Callithrix jacchus: one gene and its partner. The main gene of each other region encodes a partner of the protein of the gene in region 2 in a complex. Links are inferred from orthologs where the notes say so. Each region holds a gene or a part of one and is shown on either strand. Other genes may lie near its edges. The genes, in order: MAP1LC3C and PLEKHM1.

Region 1 (9,318 bases), on a different chromosome or scaffold from region 2:
CCCCTCCACCACTTTTATCAAGATGCTGCCAGATTAGGACTGCCGCTATGCCCTCTATGAGGCAATCTACGAGAGCAGGGAGAGCAAGAAGGAGGACCTGGTATTTATATTCCGGGCCTCTGAGTCTGCACCCCTTATGAGCAAAATGATCTATGCCAGCTCCAAAAATGCCATCATGAAGCTGACAGGGATCAAGCATGCATTACAAGCAGACTGCTACGAGGAGGTCAAGGCCCACTGCATCCTAGCAGAGAGGCTAGGGGAGGCAGTGCCATCATCTCCCTGGAAGCACGCCTTTATGAGCCCCTTCTGGCCCCCTGCCTGGAGCATCTGGCAGCCCCACACCTGCCCTCAGGGGTTGCAGCCTGCCCCCTTCCTGCCAGACTGGAGGGGCTGGGGGCATCCCAGTAGGGGAAGGGCAATCCCTTCACCCGGTTACCAAACAGACCCCCCTACTCCCTGGATTTTCCTCCCTTCAGTCCTGGCAGTTCCAGCCTTCCTAAACTGCTTTAGATCTTCTGATTCCTCTTGGGTTGAAGCAGACCAAGCTCCCTCCAGGTACCCCAGTTGTGAGGAGGCCTGTTTTTTTCTTTTTTTAACAACACCCTACTCCCTCCCTGTTCCTCCCCCTTCCCATGCTGTTAACTTTTTTTTGGAGACAGAGTCTCGTTCTGTTGCTCAGGCCGGAGTGCGGTGTGTGATCTCAGCTCACTGCAACCTCCGCTTCCCAGGTTCAAGCGATTCTCCTGCCTGAGCCTCTCCAGTAGCTGGAACTATAGGCATGCACTGTCACAGCCGGCCAAGTTTTTGTATTTTAGTAGAGTTGGGGTTTCACAATGTATCCCAGGCTGATCTGGAACTCTTGAGCTCAGGTAATCTGCCTGCGTCGGCCTCCCAAAGTGCTAGGATTACAGGCGTGAGCCACTGCACCCGGCCCCATGCTGCCAACTTCTAACCACAATAGTGACTCTATGCTTGTCTAGTTTTGTGTATAAATGGAATGTTGTGGAGATGACGCCTCCTTGCCAGCTCGTTCCTCACCCTTTTCCCCTGGTCACAGCCACTCATGGAAGCAAAACCAGTAAGGAACCTACGATTAAAAAATTTAAAAAGCCAGGTGTGGTGGCTCATGCCTGTAACCCCAGCACTTTGCAAGGTCCAGGTGGGCGGATCACCTGAGGTCAGGTGTTCAAGACCAGCCTGACTAACATGGAGAAACCTCATCTCTAGTAAAAATACAAAATTAACTGGGCGTGGTGGCAAATACCTGTAATCCCAGCTACTCGGGAGGCTGAGGCAGGAGAATCACTTGAACCTGGGAGGTGGGGGTTGCAGTCAGCCGAGATCCCGCCACTGCACTCCAGCCTCAGCACCAGGAGTGAAACTTTGTCTCAAAAAACAAAACAAAACAAAGCCAAAAAATTAAAAAAAACCATGACAATAATAAAAAGGCTCATTAATGGAGGAAAAAAATTCCCTTCTAAGGAGAAGCTTATTCGCCATTTTCATGTCTCCTTACCTACTCCTCAGGATTATTCGCCATTCTCTGTACCTGCAGCCTGTGGAGAGGCATGATCGGTGACTGCGCCTGCACTCCTTGACTCCGCCTCTGCATACGGTGACTCAGCTAACCAGCCCAGTGAGTGCCCTGTGTTCACCTTTGTTCCCGGAGGCACTGCGGTGGGAACTATCCCCAGTGCCCTCCTGACTTGTGAGAATTAATGCATCCCCTCGCTACATCCTCCGTGGTGGTAGTCAGTGGACGTCACCCACCAAGCGATCACACCCACCCATTGTGTGGGCAACTGTAGCAGTAGTTAGCCATAGAGAGTTGTGGTAAGAAGCCGAAGAATAAAGCTCCTTTAAAATAAAGAATGTTTATTTCAGAGTAAAGCTTGGCACCTAGTAAACATGTGCATTTAAATGACTATGTTGAGAAGTTACAGCTTTGGCATAAATATGTCTGGTATAGCAGGACAAAAAGAGAAAATAACCACATAGAGTGAACGCTGGGGAAACAGGATAATCTCTCTAATGACACAGGAGAGGGCGCCTCCAGGTGAGCTTATCATGGGTCACACTGGCTTCATTGGGTTCCACAGAGGCAGTCTACAGGCTGGAGGTTCTCTAGGCCTGAGCCCTGCAGGGCATCCCTGCCTACATGCAGGGAGTGAAATCCACTCCCCAATGGCCCTCCCACATATAGCACAGAAGACACTTGAAAAATATTATCTCCAGCTCATCACACAAAGCCATCACACAAGCCAACCATTTCTTATTTAGAATAGAGTTATATGGCTGGATGCAGTGGCTCACACCTGTAATCTCAGCACTTTGGGAGGCAGAGGTGGGTGGATCACCTGTGGGCAGGAGTTTGAGACCAGCCTGGCCAATGTGGTGAAACCTCGTCTCTACTAAAATTACAAAAATTGGCCTGGTGTGGTGGCATGCACTTGTTATCCCAGCTACTCAGGAGGCTGAGGCAGGAGAATCCCTTGAACCCAGGAGGCAGAGGCTGTGGTGAGCCAAGATCGTGCCACTGTACTCCAGCCTGGGCAACAGAGCAAGAACCTGTCTCAAAAAAAAAAGAGTTATAATTACAAAACTTTCAAGAGCAGCCCACATTTTTCTTAGAAGAACACAAGAGCATGGAGCACAAAAACTAAACTAGGAAGAGCCACCACTCTGCTGCCAATAGCTGGACCTGATCACTCCCAGCATCCCTGCTTCTCAGACTCCTCCATATACATACAGGAGAAATCCAATCCCTTCTGCCAGCGGCTGATACGTCTGTCAGAGCACCTGTTCTTCCCCACATGGGCTAGAGAGGATTGCAGGGTCTGTCCTCAAGGCTGCTCCCATCCCAGGGGGGCTGATGACTCCAGGCAGCCAAACGTCTCCTGGGAGGCGTAGGTCTTGTACACGAAGCCGTCCTCATCCTTGTAGTCCCTGTAGATCTCTGCCATGGTTGCACTCATGCTGACCAGGTTCTTGTTGTTCACCAGCAAGTAAAAGGCTTCTGTGTCTCTCAGGACCATGCGGCTCCTGGGGTGGGCAGGAGGGTGGTGAGGGGGTGACCTGTGAGGCAGCCCAGGGATCTGCAGCATCATGACGCTCAAGAAGAGGGAATTGCTCCCTCCTTCTTCCCTGAGATTTAGAAACTACAAGGAGTCGTAGTTGGGTCAAAAGGGTGAGGTCATTCCATGGATGAAATATGCCAAAACACGACGAGGAAACACAGCAGGGAAAGATGACGACACAAACCTGCTAAGCGCGCTGGACAGGCGCCGTGGCTCAGGCCTGTCATCCCAGCACTTTGGGAGGCTGAGGCGGGGGAATCACAAGGTCAGGAGTTCAAGTCCAGCTTCGCCAAGACGGTGAAACCCCGTCTCTACTAAAAATACAAAAGTTAGCCGGGCGTGGTGGTGGGCACCTGTAAGCTACTTGGGAGGCTGAGGCAGAGAATTGTCTGAACCCAGGAGGCAGAAGTTGCAGTGAGCGGAGATCACACCACTGCACTCCAGCCTGGGTGGCAGAGCCAGACGCCATCTCAAAAAAAAAAAAAAAAAAAAAAGTTAAGTAAATAACTTCTGTTTGCTATGAAATTAAAGCTGTTTCCCCAGGGGTACAAAAGTGATACATAGTCTCTCTGGCATCTCACTTTTTTTTTGAGATGGAATTTCACTCACTCTGTTGCCCATGCTGGAGTGCCATGGTGTGATCTCAGCTCACTGTAACCTCCACCACCCAGGTTGAAGCGATTCTCCTGTCTTATCCTCCCAAGTAGGTGGGATTACAGCCGTGTGCCACCACATTCAGCTAGTTTTTGCATTTTTAGAAGATACGGAGTTTCACCATGTTGGCCAGACTGGTCTTGAACTCCTGATGTCAGGTGATTCACCTGCCTTGGCCTCCCAAAGTGCTGGGATTACAGGCTCGAGACACTGCGCCCGGCCTGGCATGTCACTGTTGAACAGCCTAGGATGACACTTGGAAGGGATCTCCTGCCTTGAAGTGTGCCCTTTCCTTCCTGTGTTATTTCTGCGTTCACATCAAGGCGATAGGAAGGCAGCCATATTTAGTTGAACACGCTTCAAATGCCAAGGGCAATCTGAGTGCCCAGTTATCCCGGAGCAGATGGCAGTGTGAAAACGTAGGTGCCTAGGTGAAGGCTTGGCCTCACTTTAAGCACACTTCCTCCAGGTGCTCTAATTGGTGAAGCGGGCACAGCCCACCCATTCCTATCTTAGAGCTTTGAGCCTTCAGGTGGGCTATGTCCATGCAGCAGTGGGAGATGGGAGTAACTAGAATCCAATTCATTTTACACCCAGATAACTCCTCCCCAAATAACCCCAAAGGTTTGGTCACTGACAATTATACAGCCATCTTTGTGTAAAATAAAATAGAGTAATTTTTTCTTTCTTTCTTTTTTTTTTTGAGATGGAGTTTTACTCTTGTTGCCCAGGCTGGAGTGCAACGGTGCAATCTCAGCTCACTGCAACCTCTGCCTCCCAGGTTCAAGCGATTCTCCTGCCTCAGCCTCTTGAGCAGCTGGCATTACAGGCGTGCACCCCCACACCCAGCTAATTTTTGTATTTCTAGTAGAGTCAGGGTTTCACCATGTTGGCTGGGCTGTTTTCGAATTCGTAACCTCAGCCTCCCAAAGTGCTGGGATTACAGGCATGAGTCGGTGCACCCGGATTTAAAATAGAATTATTCTAAGAGCATCTTTTCAGGGCACTAGTGAATCTGAAAGATGACTTCAAAAAAATCTCTTTCCTCTCTTTCCCTGACATACCCCCATCCCCAAAATAAAACCACCTAACGAAGGAAACAGAAGAGCCCCCACACACCCCCGACACCTTCCTCCCGGGCACGCTCTGCGCCACCTACCGGATGATGCTGAGGGACTGGGTCATGGTCAGCTCCTGCGGGACCAGGAACTTGGTTTTGTCCAGCCGGGGCAGGAACTTCTCCCTGGGGTAGCGCTCCACTATCACCTGTCAAGAGCGTCAGTCCTTAAGAATGTGACTCAGAGTTCTCTGAGTCTTAGGATCTTGGAACAGAGAGAGGGAAGTTGTTGGCTGGTCTTGGTTTTTTCAAAGGACAGGTTCAGAACCCCGCCCCCCACAAGGGAAGTACAATGATGTCTTACCGGGATCTTGTTTGGGAACTTTGCCCAGATTCCAGCAACTTCCTCTTGTCTGATTGCTGTGAATATTTCAAGCACAAGAGAATAAGCAAACATCAAGAGAAAGCCAGATCCTCTCCTCTCTTTCGAGTAACCCAGAAAGGTACCCCAAGAAATTTACCCAAGCTTTTCCTCTGCTTGAAAGGTCTGACGCTTGGGATTTTCTGTGGAGGCGGCATTTCACTCAACAGCTTTGTCTGTTTTAAGAAAGAAAAGAAAAGAAGAACAAAAGTACTGCAACCAGGAACCTAATTCATTCCTCCAGCTGCTTCCAAACTGCCTGCAGGAGCCTGCAGGGGGCCCTTATGTAGAGCTGAGTGACATCAGGCCTCTGCTCACCCGCCTCCCCCTCCCCGAGCAGCACGAGGTCAGTTCTGGTGGAAATGGAATCGCCACCTACTTGCTGGTCAGAGAAAAGCCACTTTATTCATGACCAGTTCAAGATGTTTCTTTGCAAAAGAAATTAGGGTTTGTAATAAAATCATTGGCTAGGCAGCGGACCGTGGAGACGTAAAACTGCCTTATGCTGGCGACGTTTCTGTACTTCAGTAGAGAACCACCTTGAGAGGAGTCCAAGATGGATCCACCTCAGCCTGAAGTGTGCTGTGTAATTCTCACCACAGTCCGTGCCCTTTTCACAGAAGGAAACCTATACTAAGAAAGGTGAAGTGAGGCCGGGCGCAGTGGCTCACACCTGTAATCCCAGCACTTTGGGAGGCTGAGGCAGGCAGATCAGGAGGTCAGGAGTTCGAGACCAGTCTGGCCAACATAGTGAAACTCTGTCTCTACTAAAAATACAAAAATTAGCTGGGCATGGTGGTGAGCACCTGTCATCCCAGCTACTTGGGAGGCTGAGGCAGGAGAATCGCCTGAACCTGGGAGGTGGAGGTTGTGATTAGTCAAGATTGCACCACTGCATTCTAGCTTGGGCAACAGCGTAAGACTTGCCTCAAAAAAAAAAAAAAAAAAAAAAAAAGGTGAAACGATTTGGCCGAGGGCACACAGCTACACAGATGCAGTTTGGATTAAAACCCATAGTTGTCGGCCAGGCGCAGTGCCTCATGCCTGTAATCCCAGCACTTGGGAGGCCAAGGTGTGTAGATCACCTGAGGTCAGGAGTTTGAGACCAGCCTGGCCAACATGCTGAAACCCCGTCTCTACTAAAAATACAAAAATTATCCAGGTGTGGTGGCAGGAGCCTATAATCCCAGCTAGTTGGGAGGCTGAGGCAGGAGAATCACTTGAACCCAGGAGGTGGAGGTTGCAGTGAGCTTAGGTCCAACCATTGCACTTCAGCCTGGGCAACAAGAATGGAACTCCATCTCAAACAAACGAACAAGCAAAAACCCGAACAAACCCAGAGTTGTCACAAGGAAGTCCAAGTACAACACTCTGGTAGGTATATTTTGTCATTTAGTTTTCTCTGGGATAAAAGAAGGAAGGAAGAACAACTGCCCCCAAGATCTCCCTTTTAGAGTTAAGAAAATGGGCCTCTAGTCATACATAGAGGGAACAAATGCCATTTCTCCTATATTCTCATAACAAAAATCAGAACCCTAGGCCTTTTGGGTTTTTATAGAGGTTTTAGTACATCCGCAAGATTGATTAAACCGTTGGCCACTGATAATCAATTTAACCTCCAACCCCTCTACCCTCCCCAGAGGCTGGAGGTGGGGCTAAAAATTCCAACCCTCTAATCTCACCTTTGTCTTTCTGGTGACCAGCCCCCATCCAGAAGCTATCCAGGGACTGCCAGCCATCGGTCAACTCATGAACGTTAAAAAAGACACTTATCACCAGGCCAGGTGACTCATGCCTGTAATCCCAGCACCTTAGGAAGCCAGGGCAGGTGGATCACCTGCAGTCAGGAGTCCCATATCTGCTTGGCCATCATGGTGAAACCCTGTCTTCACTAAAAATACAAAAACTAGCCAGGTGTGATAGTGGGCACCTATAGTCCCAGCTACTCAGGATCCTGAGGCAGGAGAATCATGAGAACCCAGGAGGTGGAGGTTGCAGTGAGCTGAGATTGCACCACTGCACTCCAGCCTGGGCAAGAGAGTGAGACTTCATCTCAAAAACAAAAACAAAGAAAATTCCAAGAATTTTAAGAAGTTGTATGCCAGGAAATTTGATGAAAACAAAATGTATTTCTCAATATCACAAGGCCTTAGAAATTAACCCCCTGTGCCAGGCATGGTGACTCACGCCTATAATCCTAGCATTTTGGCAGGCCAAGGCTGGGGGATCACCAGAGGTCAGGAGTTGGAGACCAGCCTGGCCAACATACCAAAACCTCATCTCAACTAAAAATACACGCAGGACGAGGTGGCTCACACTTGTAATCTTAGCACTTTGGGAGGCCGAGGTAGGTGGATCACAAGGTCAGGAGTTCAAGACCAGCCTGACCAACATGGTGAAACCCTGTCTCTACTAAAAATACAAACATTAATGGAGACCATCCTGGTCAACATGGTGAAACCCCGTCTCTACTAAAAATACAAAAAATTAGCCGGGCATGGTGGCGCGTGCCTGTAATTCCAGCTACTCAGGAGGCTGAGGCAGGAGAATTGCCTGAACCCAGGAGGCGGAGATTGCGTTGAGCCAAGATCGCGCCCTTGCACTCCAGCCTGGGTAACAAGAGCGAAACTCCGTCTCAAAAAAAAAAAAAAAAAAAAAATACAAACATTAGCTGGGTGTGGTGGTACATGCCTGTGATCCCAGCTACTCGGGAGACTGAGGCAGGAGAATCACTTGAACCCGGGGGGAGATGGAGGTTGCAGTGAGCTGAGATCACGCTATTGCACTCCAGCTTGGGCAACAAGAACAAAACTCCATCTCAAAATAAAAATAAAAAAATAAATGAATAAAAAACAAATAAAAATAATGGCATCACTGAAGAGATAAGTGGCCTCATCCTCTTTCCCTGTCTTAAAAAAGAGGTATGCTGTCAGGTGTGACTATTAAGCAGCAGGTATGCAGTGTTCTGCACTAAAGAACCTTTCTTTCTTTCTTTCTTTTTTTTTGACAGAGTTTCACTCCTGTTACCCAGGCTGGAGTGCAATGGCGTGATCTCGGCTTACCTCAACCTCCGCCTCCTGGGTTCAGGCAATTCTCCTGCCTCAGCCTCCTGAGTAGCTGGGACTACAGGCACGCGCCACCATGCCCAGCTAATTTTTGTATTTTTAGTAGAGACGGGGTTTCACCATGTTGACCAGGATGGTCTCGATCTCTTGACCTTGTGATCCACCTGTCTTGTCCTCCCAAAGTGCTGGGATTATAGGCATGAGCCACCGTGCCCGGCCTTTCTTTTTTTTTGAGATGGAGTCTCATTCTGTAGCCCAGGCTGGAGTGCAGTGGCACAATCTTGGCTCTCTGCAACCTCCGCCTCCTGGGTCCAGGTCAAGGAATTCTCCTACCTCAGCCTCCCCAGTAGCTGGGACTAAAGGCGTGAGCCACCACACACAGCTAATTTTTGTATTTTTAGTAGAGATGGGGTTTCACCATGTTGGCCAGGCTGGTCTCGGTCTCCTGACCTCATGATCCACTCGCCTCTGCCTCCCAAAGTGCTGGGATTCCAGGCATGAGTCACCATGCCCAGCCCAGATCATTTTTTTCTTTTCTTTTCTTTTTTTTTTTTTTTGAGACGGAATCTTGCTCTGTTACCAGGCTGGAGTGTAGTGGCATGATCTTGGCTCACTGCAATGTCTGCCTCCTGGGTTTGAGCAATTCCCTTGCCTCAGCCTTCCGAGTAGCTGGGATTATAGGCGCCTGCCACCAAGCCCAGCTAATTTTTGTATTTTTAGGAGAGATGGAGTTTCACCATATTGGCCAGGCTGATCTGGAACTCCTGACCTTGTGATCCACCTGCCTCAGCCTCCCAAAGTCCTGGGATTACAGGCGTGAACCACCACACCCAGGCTTTTCTTTTCTTTTGGGTTGAAAGCCATTTTGAGGGGAGCAGTGTCTGGGGTGTCGTCTGGACGCATCATCCTCCCAGCCAGTGCTCCTCTGGCAATGGAATGGGACCTAGGTGGCTTAGAGGTGACCAAAGCCACGTACTGTGGATGCTACGTGGATTGCGGAGAAGGAAATAGGAACAGTCCTGTGGAGAACAGCTGCAGAAG
Region 2 (9,160 bases):
GAATCCTACCTCTAGCACTTACTAGTTGGCTGTGACCACCCCCAAGTTACTTAACCTCTTTTAAGCCTATTTTCTCATCCGTACAATGGGGATAATGGCAGCACCCACCTTTCCGGTGGTTGGTAAGGAATATAAGGTGAACACAGGTGCCTATTTGGGTTCTTCCATTTTCCATAAATGTTAATTCCCTTACCCCTCATCTCCTAGGTTAGTCCAGGAGGACAGACTTGAAGGTTAAAACAGAAAGTAACTGCCAAAAGGGATTATTTAGGGCAGAGATTCCCACTTTTTATTGTGCTTTAGGTCCATCAGTGGTGAGGGCAGGGACAGGAGAGGTGGGGTCAAGTCCAAATTGTTGGACTCCATCCTAGAGTGACTCTTTTGGGTTAGTGTGAGGCTTAGGAATCTGCATTTTGGGCCCATCCCCAGGGCATTCTGATGCCTGCAGTTCTCATGTCTGGCTTTGAATAACTCTGGGTAGTACTTTAAATCTAAGCTGACAGGCCAGTGGGGTGTGAACTGTCCTTGCAAACGTTTTGAGCCCTTCCTGCGCTGACCTCCAACTATGCCTTCACAGTTTGTCTTCAGCCCCCCTTCCATTCTGGCCCTCTCCCCTTACCCTTTCCTTTCCTTTTTTTTTTTTTTTTTTTTTTTAAGACGGGGTCTTGCTCTGTCTCTTAGGCTATAGTGCAAAGGCGCAATCTCGGCTCACTGAAACTTCCACCTTCTGGATTCAAGCAATTCTCCTGCCTCAGCTTCCAAAGTAGCTGGGATTACAGGCGCCCATCACTACACCCGAATAATTTTTGTCTTTTTAGTAGAGATGGGGTTTTACCATGTTAGGCTGGTCTCGAACTCCTCACCTCAGGTGATCCACCCACCTTGGCCTCCCAAAGTGCTGGGATTACAGGCATGAGTCACTGCGCCTGGCCACCCTTTCCTTTTTCACTTTCTTTTTTCTTCTTCTTTTTTTTTTTTTTTTGAGAAAGGATCTCACTCTGTTACCCAGGCTGGAGTGTAGTGGCATGATCTTGGCTCACTGCAACCTCTGCCCCCCTGGTTCAAGCAATTCTCCCAAGTAGCTGGGACTGCAGGCACATGCCACCATGCCTGGCTAATTTTAGTATTTTTAGTAGAGATGAGGTTTCACCATGTTGATTAGGCTGGCATCAAACTTCTGACATCAAGTGATCCGCCTGTCTCGGCCTCCCAAAGTGCTGGGATTAGAGGTGTAAACCACCACGCCCAGCCTCCTTTTTCACTTCCTGCCTTCCTCCCCACCTCTGGGTGCACCCTCCTCTGAACTCAACCTGCATTCCTTTCTGCTGGCCACTTACCAGCCAGTCCCTTCATCTGCAATGCGCTTTACTCACCTAGAAAGCTCACATCAAAAGTTGCCTCTTTCAGGATATCTCTCAAATTCTCCTCTCTGGTCCTTTGGCCCTTTGCAGGTACCCTTTTTCTTGTGCAAGTCACATGATAATGTGAGGGTTTTTTTGTTTTTTTTTTTTCCCTATCTGGAGCTTGCCTGGTGGACTCACGGTCCATTTGTGGAAATACGCATTTCCCTCTCCTCCACTTCCCCTCCATGATCCATGCTTCATGCAGCCTCTCCAAGGCATGCAGAACAAGCTAAGAAGAGGTAAATAAGCCTGCAGACGTCTCTTTTTTTTTGAGATGGAATCTTGCTCTGTTGCTCAGGCTAGAGTGCAATGGTATAATCTCAGCTGACTGCAACCTCTGCCTCCGGGTTGAAGCAATTCTCAGCCTCAGCCTCCCGAGAAGCTGGGATTACAGCATGTGCCACCATGTCTGGCTAATTTTTTGTATTTTTAGTAGAGATGGGGGTTTCACCATCTTGGCCAGGCTGATCTTGAACTCCTAACCTTGTGATCTGCCCACCTCGGCCTCCCAAAGTGCTGGGATTACAGGCATGAGTCACCCTGCCTAGCTGCCTGCAGACCTTACAAAGAAGTGAGGTGGCTTGGGAAGTAAGAGAAGACCAGGAGATAGGGGCTCCTAAAAAGCAGGCAAGAGATTACCGAGGGGTCCCCACAGCTCTAGCACATAGCAGCTCCACAAAAATGTGGTGGAATTACTGAGGGACATTATGTGCTTGATGGGGGACAGCAAATGCTTGTGAAGCCACCAAGAATCATGCTGTGCCAGTTGTGACCAGATATACTATCCTTTTGCCAAGGTAAAAGGACTTCCTTACTGAATCCCTTACTTCCCACTTTGTTTAAAACGAGTTTGACACCAAGAGAATAGTTTGTCTCTATGTCCTTATTTCTAGTCTTCCTGCTCAGCCGTGAGCTGTAATAAACACCCTCAGACCCATCTAGCCTAAAATTGAGGAGGGGAGGTTCTCACTCCTGGAGAGAGAATTACTGAAAGGGTGGTCCTCATACAGTCTGGGGTCATATCCCCAAGGGCTGGTTTTATATTTGAAAGCAGGCAGTGGGACTCTGACCTTTGCAGAGATAGGAGGGACACCCTCCTACCCAGAGAGGCCAAAAGAGCACAGGACGGCCAGGCCGAGGGCAGTGAAGCTTTCGTCCAAGAACTGGCCCGTTTCCCAGCCACCGCTGTGCCTATTTAGGACTCGTATGTAACAGTACTTCTCCTCACCCACATTCAGGACCCAGGCTCCCAACTGACCAAAGCCTGCAAGTGTAAGTGTCCAGAGTATGGGTCCCTGACAACATCCCCTGCCCTGCTCTTCACTAGCTGTGGTCACTACTTAGGACATTTTGTTCCAAGTTCATCTGAAAGAGAAATGTCACTTCTAGGATAGAAAGAAGACAGACAGGCCAGGCATGGTGGTTCACGCCAAAATCCCAGCACTTTGGGAGGCCAAGGCAGGAGCACTGCCTGAGGCCAGGAGTTGGAGACCAGGCTAGGCAACACTGTGAGAAACACTGTGAGATCCCTATCTCCCTGACACACACACACACACACACACACACACACACAGACACACACACACACTAGCTGAGCGTGGTGGTGCATGTCTGTAGTTCCAGCTACTTGAGGCTGAAGTGGGAGAACCCTTTAGCCTGTGAGGTCGAGGGTGTGGTGAGCCGTGATGGTGCCACTGCACTCCAGTCTGGGCGACAGAGACCCTGTCTCAAAAACAAAAACAGAAAGGAAGAGAGAAATTCTCTACATGGCTAGAAGAGAATAACCGGGCCCCTAAGCTTCGCGCCACGCGTGGCTAAAGGGAGAGTTAAACACAGGAGAGTGCCCAAGGGGACTTCAAGGCGTTCCCTTGGGATAAGGTGTGCTTAAAACAGCTATGTTTTTCCTGAAAGCGCAAGGCGGTGGCTCCGCCCCAAGGGCTGCACTGCTGCCCTCGGGCAGGCAAAGCTAGGACTGGCATTATTAGTCCCACTCACACATCGGAACTCTTCAACTGAGGGATGCGAAGTGACAGCCCCAATATTGCACAGATGGTGCTGAGGCCAAGCGAGGTCAGGTACCCAGAAGCCAGGATCTAGTCTGACGCAGACCTGCGGGAGGCAAGCGGTACGGAGGCGTTCCTCCTGGCACCGGTGCCTTCGCCTCTCTGCGCCCGGCCGGCGCCCCCGGGTCCGGAGCCTCCCAGACCAAGAATCTGCTCGGTGGTTCGGCTCCCACGGACTTCCGAGAGCAGCTGGCCCCGCCCCAGGACTCCTTCGGGCCCCGCGATTGGCAGCACGGGCCGAGGGCGGGGCTTGGGCGGGTCCGGAGCGCCGAGCGAGCGTGATGGCGTCAGGAGCCGCGGGCGCCGCTTCCTGTTGTCAGTGGCCGAGAGGCCGCATCCTCTGCTCCGAGGCTGAGGGGCTGCTGCAACCGGGAGCGCCCCCCGCCTCGCTCCCTTTTCTGTTTGGTGAGTTAGGGGGTCAAGAGGCGAGAAGGGCGGCGGAGGGGCGGCGGGGCCGAGGCGCGAATGGGCGGGTGGGCCTCCCGCTCCCCCCGCGATCCTCAGCCCTGGTTGCCCTGAGACTGCCCGGCTTCAGAGCCCTCAGCCCTGCCCAGCCCGCGCCCTCCCGGCTCCCACCCAGCCTTCCCCCCGCACCGCCGCTGCGCGCCCTTCCGCCCGGTCTGTTCCACCCCAAGCCCGCTCCCGCATCCCCTCACCAGCGGTCTTGCGTAAATGCAGCTTCACTAGTGACCCCACTTTACCCCAGTTCCAACCCCGATCTCGGCCACGTCCTTTCGCCTCTCCCTGACACACCTCGTCCTCTCTCCCGACCCCTCTGGTAACCCCGGTGCTCCGCGCTCACCTCCCCGAGACCCAGTATTCGGGTTTCCCCTTTTCTGGCTCAGCTTTCTTATCCCAGTCACCCGCATCACCTGTCCAGCTCCCCAAGATCTGCTGATCCCAAACACTCTACCTCTGCCCCTTCTCATCTAAGGCCCCTCCCCCAAAGTAGGTGCCCTGTTGAGCTCACCGCTTTCTTCTGGATAACTCTATCTCAGCCTTATTCCAAGTCTTAACTGTGTCTTCTCGTCTTAGTCTCCTAGCCCACTGTATACTTCCTTTCCGACTCTTGCCGTCCTGAGGACATCAATCCCTAAGTCTTTGCTAAACTGTCCTGAACTCTTGCTGCCTCCTTTCTTACCACCCTCACCCAATCTGGTTAAAAATGACATCTCCATGTCCTTTCACCCTCCCTGACTCCACCGCAGCTCTTCACCCCAACTCTGCGTCCATTCCTTTCCTCGACCCAACTCCCATTCAATCTGAGAACCTGGTGCAGAGTCTCCTGCCAACTCCACCAACAGCCTCAACAGCCAAATGTAGGTGCTCACTCAGACTGGCAGTTAGAGACTGAGCAGTGTGATTGGTGGGCCTAGGGCCTCAGGTGGTAAATGAGGTTGGAGGAGCAGTGGGCTCTCCCCAAATAGTGGATTGGGCCAGAAGGTTTTCCTAGCGTTTGGTCTCCTGTACCTGTCCGCAGCAACTGTGTTTCTGGCATTCATATTAAATGACTTGTGCTGGCTGCTGGAATGGTAGGTATCATTCAAACACCTGGAAGGTGAGAGATGGCCACTCACTCAGCTCACGTAGCATAGGATGATGGAAGTTATCACTTCCTTCTAGCTGCTGTTCTGGCCCTGGAGAGCCTCTGGGAGGTTTTTTAAGGGCCCTAAAGAACATTGTCTCTGCTGTGGTCACAGAACATTGTCCGTGTTCCTTTTTCTGGTGCTTGTAAGGGCCTCTCCCTGCCAGAGCTGATGGCAGATCAATCCTGATGCTGAATTCAGGGGACACGATGGATGCCAGAGGCAGTGTTACCTGTTGTGAAGAGTATAGGCGAGTAGGTCCTGGGGAGACTGAGGCCTAGGAGGTACAGAGGCTCTTGAATCGCCTTCTTTTCTTGCAAGTGCTGGCTCATTGACTTTTGGCCATTTGGATTCCATGAACACAGGGAACCACATTATCTCAGAGTAGCTGAGGCAGAAGAGTATCTCAGAGGCACCCAAGTCCCATGCTCAGCATTTATAGTTTCCTGAGGGCTTTTGGGGACACATTTTCTCTGAATCCTGAGGACCCAGCATGAGATGGGTGGGCCATTTGACCACAGTTTTAAAGGGTCCTAAAGAACATTGTCTCTGCTTGCCGTTTATAGTCTTACTCCTTTGAAAACGAAATGCTGTTTACCTTCAATGTCCTTCTATTCATATGCAGGTTATTTAAGTTGTTTTCAGCCTTATTGGCAGCTTGGCTTAATGGAAGGAGGTCCACAGTGGCCCCAGCACTTAAGAGTTACATACCCCAACTTCCCAGTGTGTGAAATGGAGATACTTGCCCTGTGCCTTGTTTTTATTTTATTAATTGGTTCATTCAACAGCTTATTTTTTGAGCACCAGTGTGTGCCAAGCACTGTTCTAGGTACAGTGGTGACTGGGTCAGGCAACTTTCCTGTTTTCATTCATTTAGAGTTTGGTCCTTGTTAGAATCCTCTGGGATATGGGACAAGAATATAGGGAAGATAGGTGTTATTGGATGGAAGGAAGGAGGGAGGAAAGAAAGATTCCCAGTGTTCACTGACTCCAGTTCTGCCCTCATCCACTAGCCCTGAGTCTGGGAATCACAAGCTACAAGTTTCTCACCCTTCATCTGGTATTTAATTGCTTCAAAGCTCCAACCCCCCACCATTCCATCCATCACAGAAATCCAGCTTTCCTCAGGTGGACAGAGTTGCTGTTTCCTCAGTCAGCACTCACATGCCTGAAGGATCAGCTGCCTTTCTGAATCAGAAGATAACTTTGTCATTCTTTTCCAATGGAAAAAACATGACTCATCAATTGGTACAGCAGCTGGGTGGCTTAAAGCCAGGCTGTGGCTCTGAACAGCCAGGTACACAATTCAGTGGTGAGAAGGCAGTGGGGAATGGCTGAGAAGTCCCTCAAGAGAAGAGGCTGCTGTTCACTGATAGTTGAGTGTTTTGAGAGTGGTGAAGCCAGGTTATCTTTCTTCTTTTAATGTAAGTCTCATCTAAGTAATTCTCTTTTTTTCTTCCTTGATATCTGTAGGAAGTGAAATTGGACATATAGAGAAGGCCAGGCAGTGTAATGAAGGAAACCAACTGGAACTGTTCCTTCCTGTGTTGAAACATTGAAGAAAGTATAGCTCTGAGGCTTTGGGAGCATTGGTAGGACCTGGGTTCGGCTGGTTGGGGCTATAAATCTGATCGGCAGAACTGTTTCTTGTTGGTTTTAGACCTTCTGTGATAAAATGGAGCTTCCAAGTACCTCTGAAGAGGAAGTTACAGCTTGCCTGAAATTCTCTGAGCCAAAGACCTGAGGCCGTTTAGTCCAGGGAAAGATGCAAGAGTTGGGATGAAGAAACCAGAGAGTTCTGTCCCTTACCTGAGGCTCATTGCTACTGAACCTCAGTTTTGCCCATGACCCATGACATAGTCCTGGGAGGTCCTGAGAACAGGTGCCCAGGGTGATTGGGTTACAGCTTGCTTTTATCCAAGGTACTGGCAGAAGTTACAGGCAAAGACATAAATTAGTACATGTAAGGTATACATTGATAGGGGCAAGGTAAGGTGAGTTAAAAGATTTCCTGATTGGCAATTGGTTGAAAGAGTTAAACTTTGCCTAAGGAGTTGAAGTCAACGGAGAGAAATGCTTGGAGTTAAGATAAGGTGGGTTGTGGAAGCCAAGGTGTAGATGAAGCCTTCAGGTAACAGGCTCCAGAGAAAATAGACAGTACGTGTATTTTATCAGACCCTAAAAGGTGTGGGACTCTTAGTTAAATCTCTCCTAGATCAGTAAAAGGCCTAGAAAGGTAAGGGAATCTCTGCAGGATATAAATTTTCCCCACAAGAGGTGGCTTTGCAGGGCCATTCCAAAATATGTCAAATACACATATTTGGGGGTAAAATACTTTGATTTCCTTTAGGGCCAGTTATCTCTCATGTGATGTTAGACCAGAGTCAGGTTGGAGTTGGTATCTTCATTGCTAAGGGTCTGTCCTGTGAGTCTTAGGATTCCAATGCTGGTCAGTTGTGTCTAAGCTCCAGAAGGGAGAGGCTATCATGAGGCATGGCCCATGCCCCACTTCCTGTCATGGCCTGAACTAAGTTTTTAAGTTTTTTCAAAATCCCTTTGGCCAAGAGGGAATCCATTCAGGCAGTTGGGGGATGTAGAATTTTATTTTTGGTTTACAGCACTGACTCAGGAATTGGGGTTATTCTAGGGCTGAGTTGGCTTCCTCCTGGGGGCTGGTGGTGGAGTCGGGCCACTTATCAGCCCTGGGACCTCAGGAACTTCCTTAACCTGGGTCAGTTGTCTTTCTGTATCTGTCAGGTGGAGATAATAAAACAGCACTTCTAGGGTGTTTAGGAGGGATATCAATTAGCAATATAAGTAAAGAGAGCCTTGGTTTTGTTAACTTCTTTGTGCCATTATTTTTTGAGAGCCCAGACAGCCATCCCTTTCCTGGTGTTCCCCTGATGCTCAGCCAGGCATTCGCTAGAGATTTGTTAAGATGTGAATGTGCCTGCCTAGCCTAGGTCTGCCCAAGTTGCTGGGATGGGGCCACCAGCCAGCAGCCCCCTCAGGCTCAGGCCAAAGTCCTCACCCCACCCCACCCATTCCCAGGGGAAATCCGGCAGCCCTGAGGGATTGAACCACTCACTGACTTCAGCTCTTCCTGCATATTCATTTGGACGTGGCATTCTTGGTCTGTAGATGTAGGTGGTCATATCCACTGGGATGACAGACACCAGGTATAGGTACTCATCAGGCCCTGTGACAGGCGTTTTACACATTCTCCATCTAAGAGGTCTGCGCATGCCTACCTGGTTAGTGGCAGATTGCAATGAGACCTCGTGGTTGTTGCGATTAGACGTGCCTCTGTATGCTACTCAAGCCAGACCCTTGAAGCCTAAAGGAGAAGAAGTGTAGCAAGGGAGCCCTTTCTTTTCAAAGCCATTCCAGTTGTACTTTTTACTGCTGAGCTGGCAGACATTGGACTGGGACAAGCGTGAGGGGTGGGGGCAGGGTGTTGCAGGACCCAGCCCCTGAATGTAACTTGTAAGCCCCTGCTTCCTGGTCCCAGTGGGTTCCTTCCGCCTTCAGCTGCATCCTCCGCTTTGAACCCACAGTTCTGTATCTGCATCAGCCTGTCGTTCCCTGCTTACAGGTTTCGATCCTACAGGGCCCTGGCTTTCCGGGCAGCATTTGATGTGAATTGCCTTTACCACTTACTTCTTGGGGTGGACCCACCTCTGGCACCCAGGACTCCTTGCCTCCCAAGGACTGAGCCCTCTGGGCTCTCCTTCCTTCAAATCCACTCTCAGTTTTTACTTTTGTGTTGAGTGAGAGGGGCTGACCTCCTACTGCTTGCTGGGAATGGACTCTGCCTGGTGGGGAGCTGGCTGCCCATTCATCTGGCTGCCATCTGTCTCTTCAGGTGTTATGTGATTCTCCGAGGGAGCAGTTCTGTGAGTGGAGATGCTCTCAGTGGTGGAGAATGGACTGGACCCCCGGGCTGCCATCCCGGTAGGTGGGCAAAAGAGGATTAAGGGTGGGGAAGGGCTGCAGGGGACAGTCATTTCTTTGGCTTGGCTCACTTCGAAATGAATAGGCACTGCCCTGCAAGAGAGGCCAGGTAGAGGAAAAAGTTACAACACAAGCAGGCTCTGAGGAGACCCTG

Evidence for each region.
Region 1: the proteins of PLEKHM1 (region 2) and MAP1LC3C are in contact, whole or in part, in a crystal structure (PDB 5DPW), measured with the Homo sapiens proteins. The link is inferred for Callithrix jacchus from reciprocal best matches to the Homo sapiens genes PLEKHM1 and MAP1LC3C. Residues at the interface, in NP_055613.1 of Homo sapiens: Glu632, Asp633, Glu634, Trp635, Val636, Asn637, Val638, Gln639, Tyr640; in NP_001004343.1 of Homo sapiens: Phe13, Arg16, Lys17, Glu25, Ile29, Phe33, Lys36, Pro38, Asp54, Lys55, Thr56, Lys57, Phe58, Leu59, Val60, Pro61, Glu63, Leu64, Ile72, Arg76, Phe114.

The regions. Positions count from the first base shown.
Region 1 is NC_133520.1:43,981,377-43,990,694, reverse strand, and holds MAP1LC3C (microtubule-associated protein 1 light chain 3 gamma), read right to left. Parts: upstream 5,470-9,318; 5' UTR 5,371-5,469; coding exon 5,313-5,370; intron 5,212-5,312; coding exon 5,156-5,211; intron 5,001-5,155; coding exon 4,894-5,000; intron 3,046-4,893; coding exon 2,847-3,045; 3' UTR 1,862-2,846; downstream 1-1,861.
Region 2 is NC_133506.1:85,866,769-85,875,928, reverse strand, and holds the start of PLEKHM1 (pleckstrin homology domain-containing family M member 1), read left to right. Parts: upstream 1-3,764; 5' UTR 3,765-3,871; intron 3,872-8,917; 5' UTR 8,918-8,958; coding exon 8,959-9,006; intron 9,007-9,160. UniProt on the Homo sapiens protein: Acts as a multivalent adapter protein that regulates Rab7-dependent and HOPS complex-dependent fusion events in the endolysosomal system and couples autophagic and the endocytic trafficking pathways.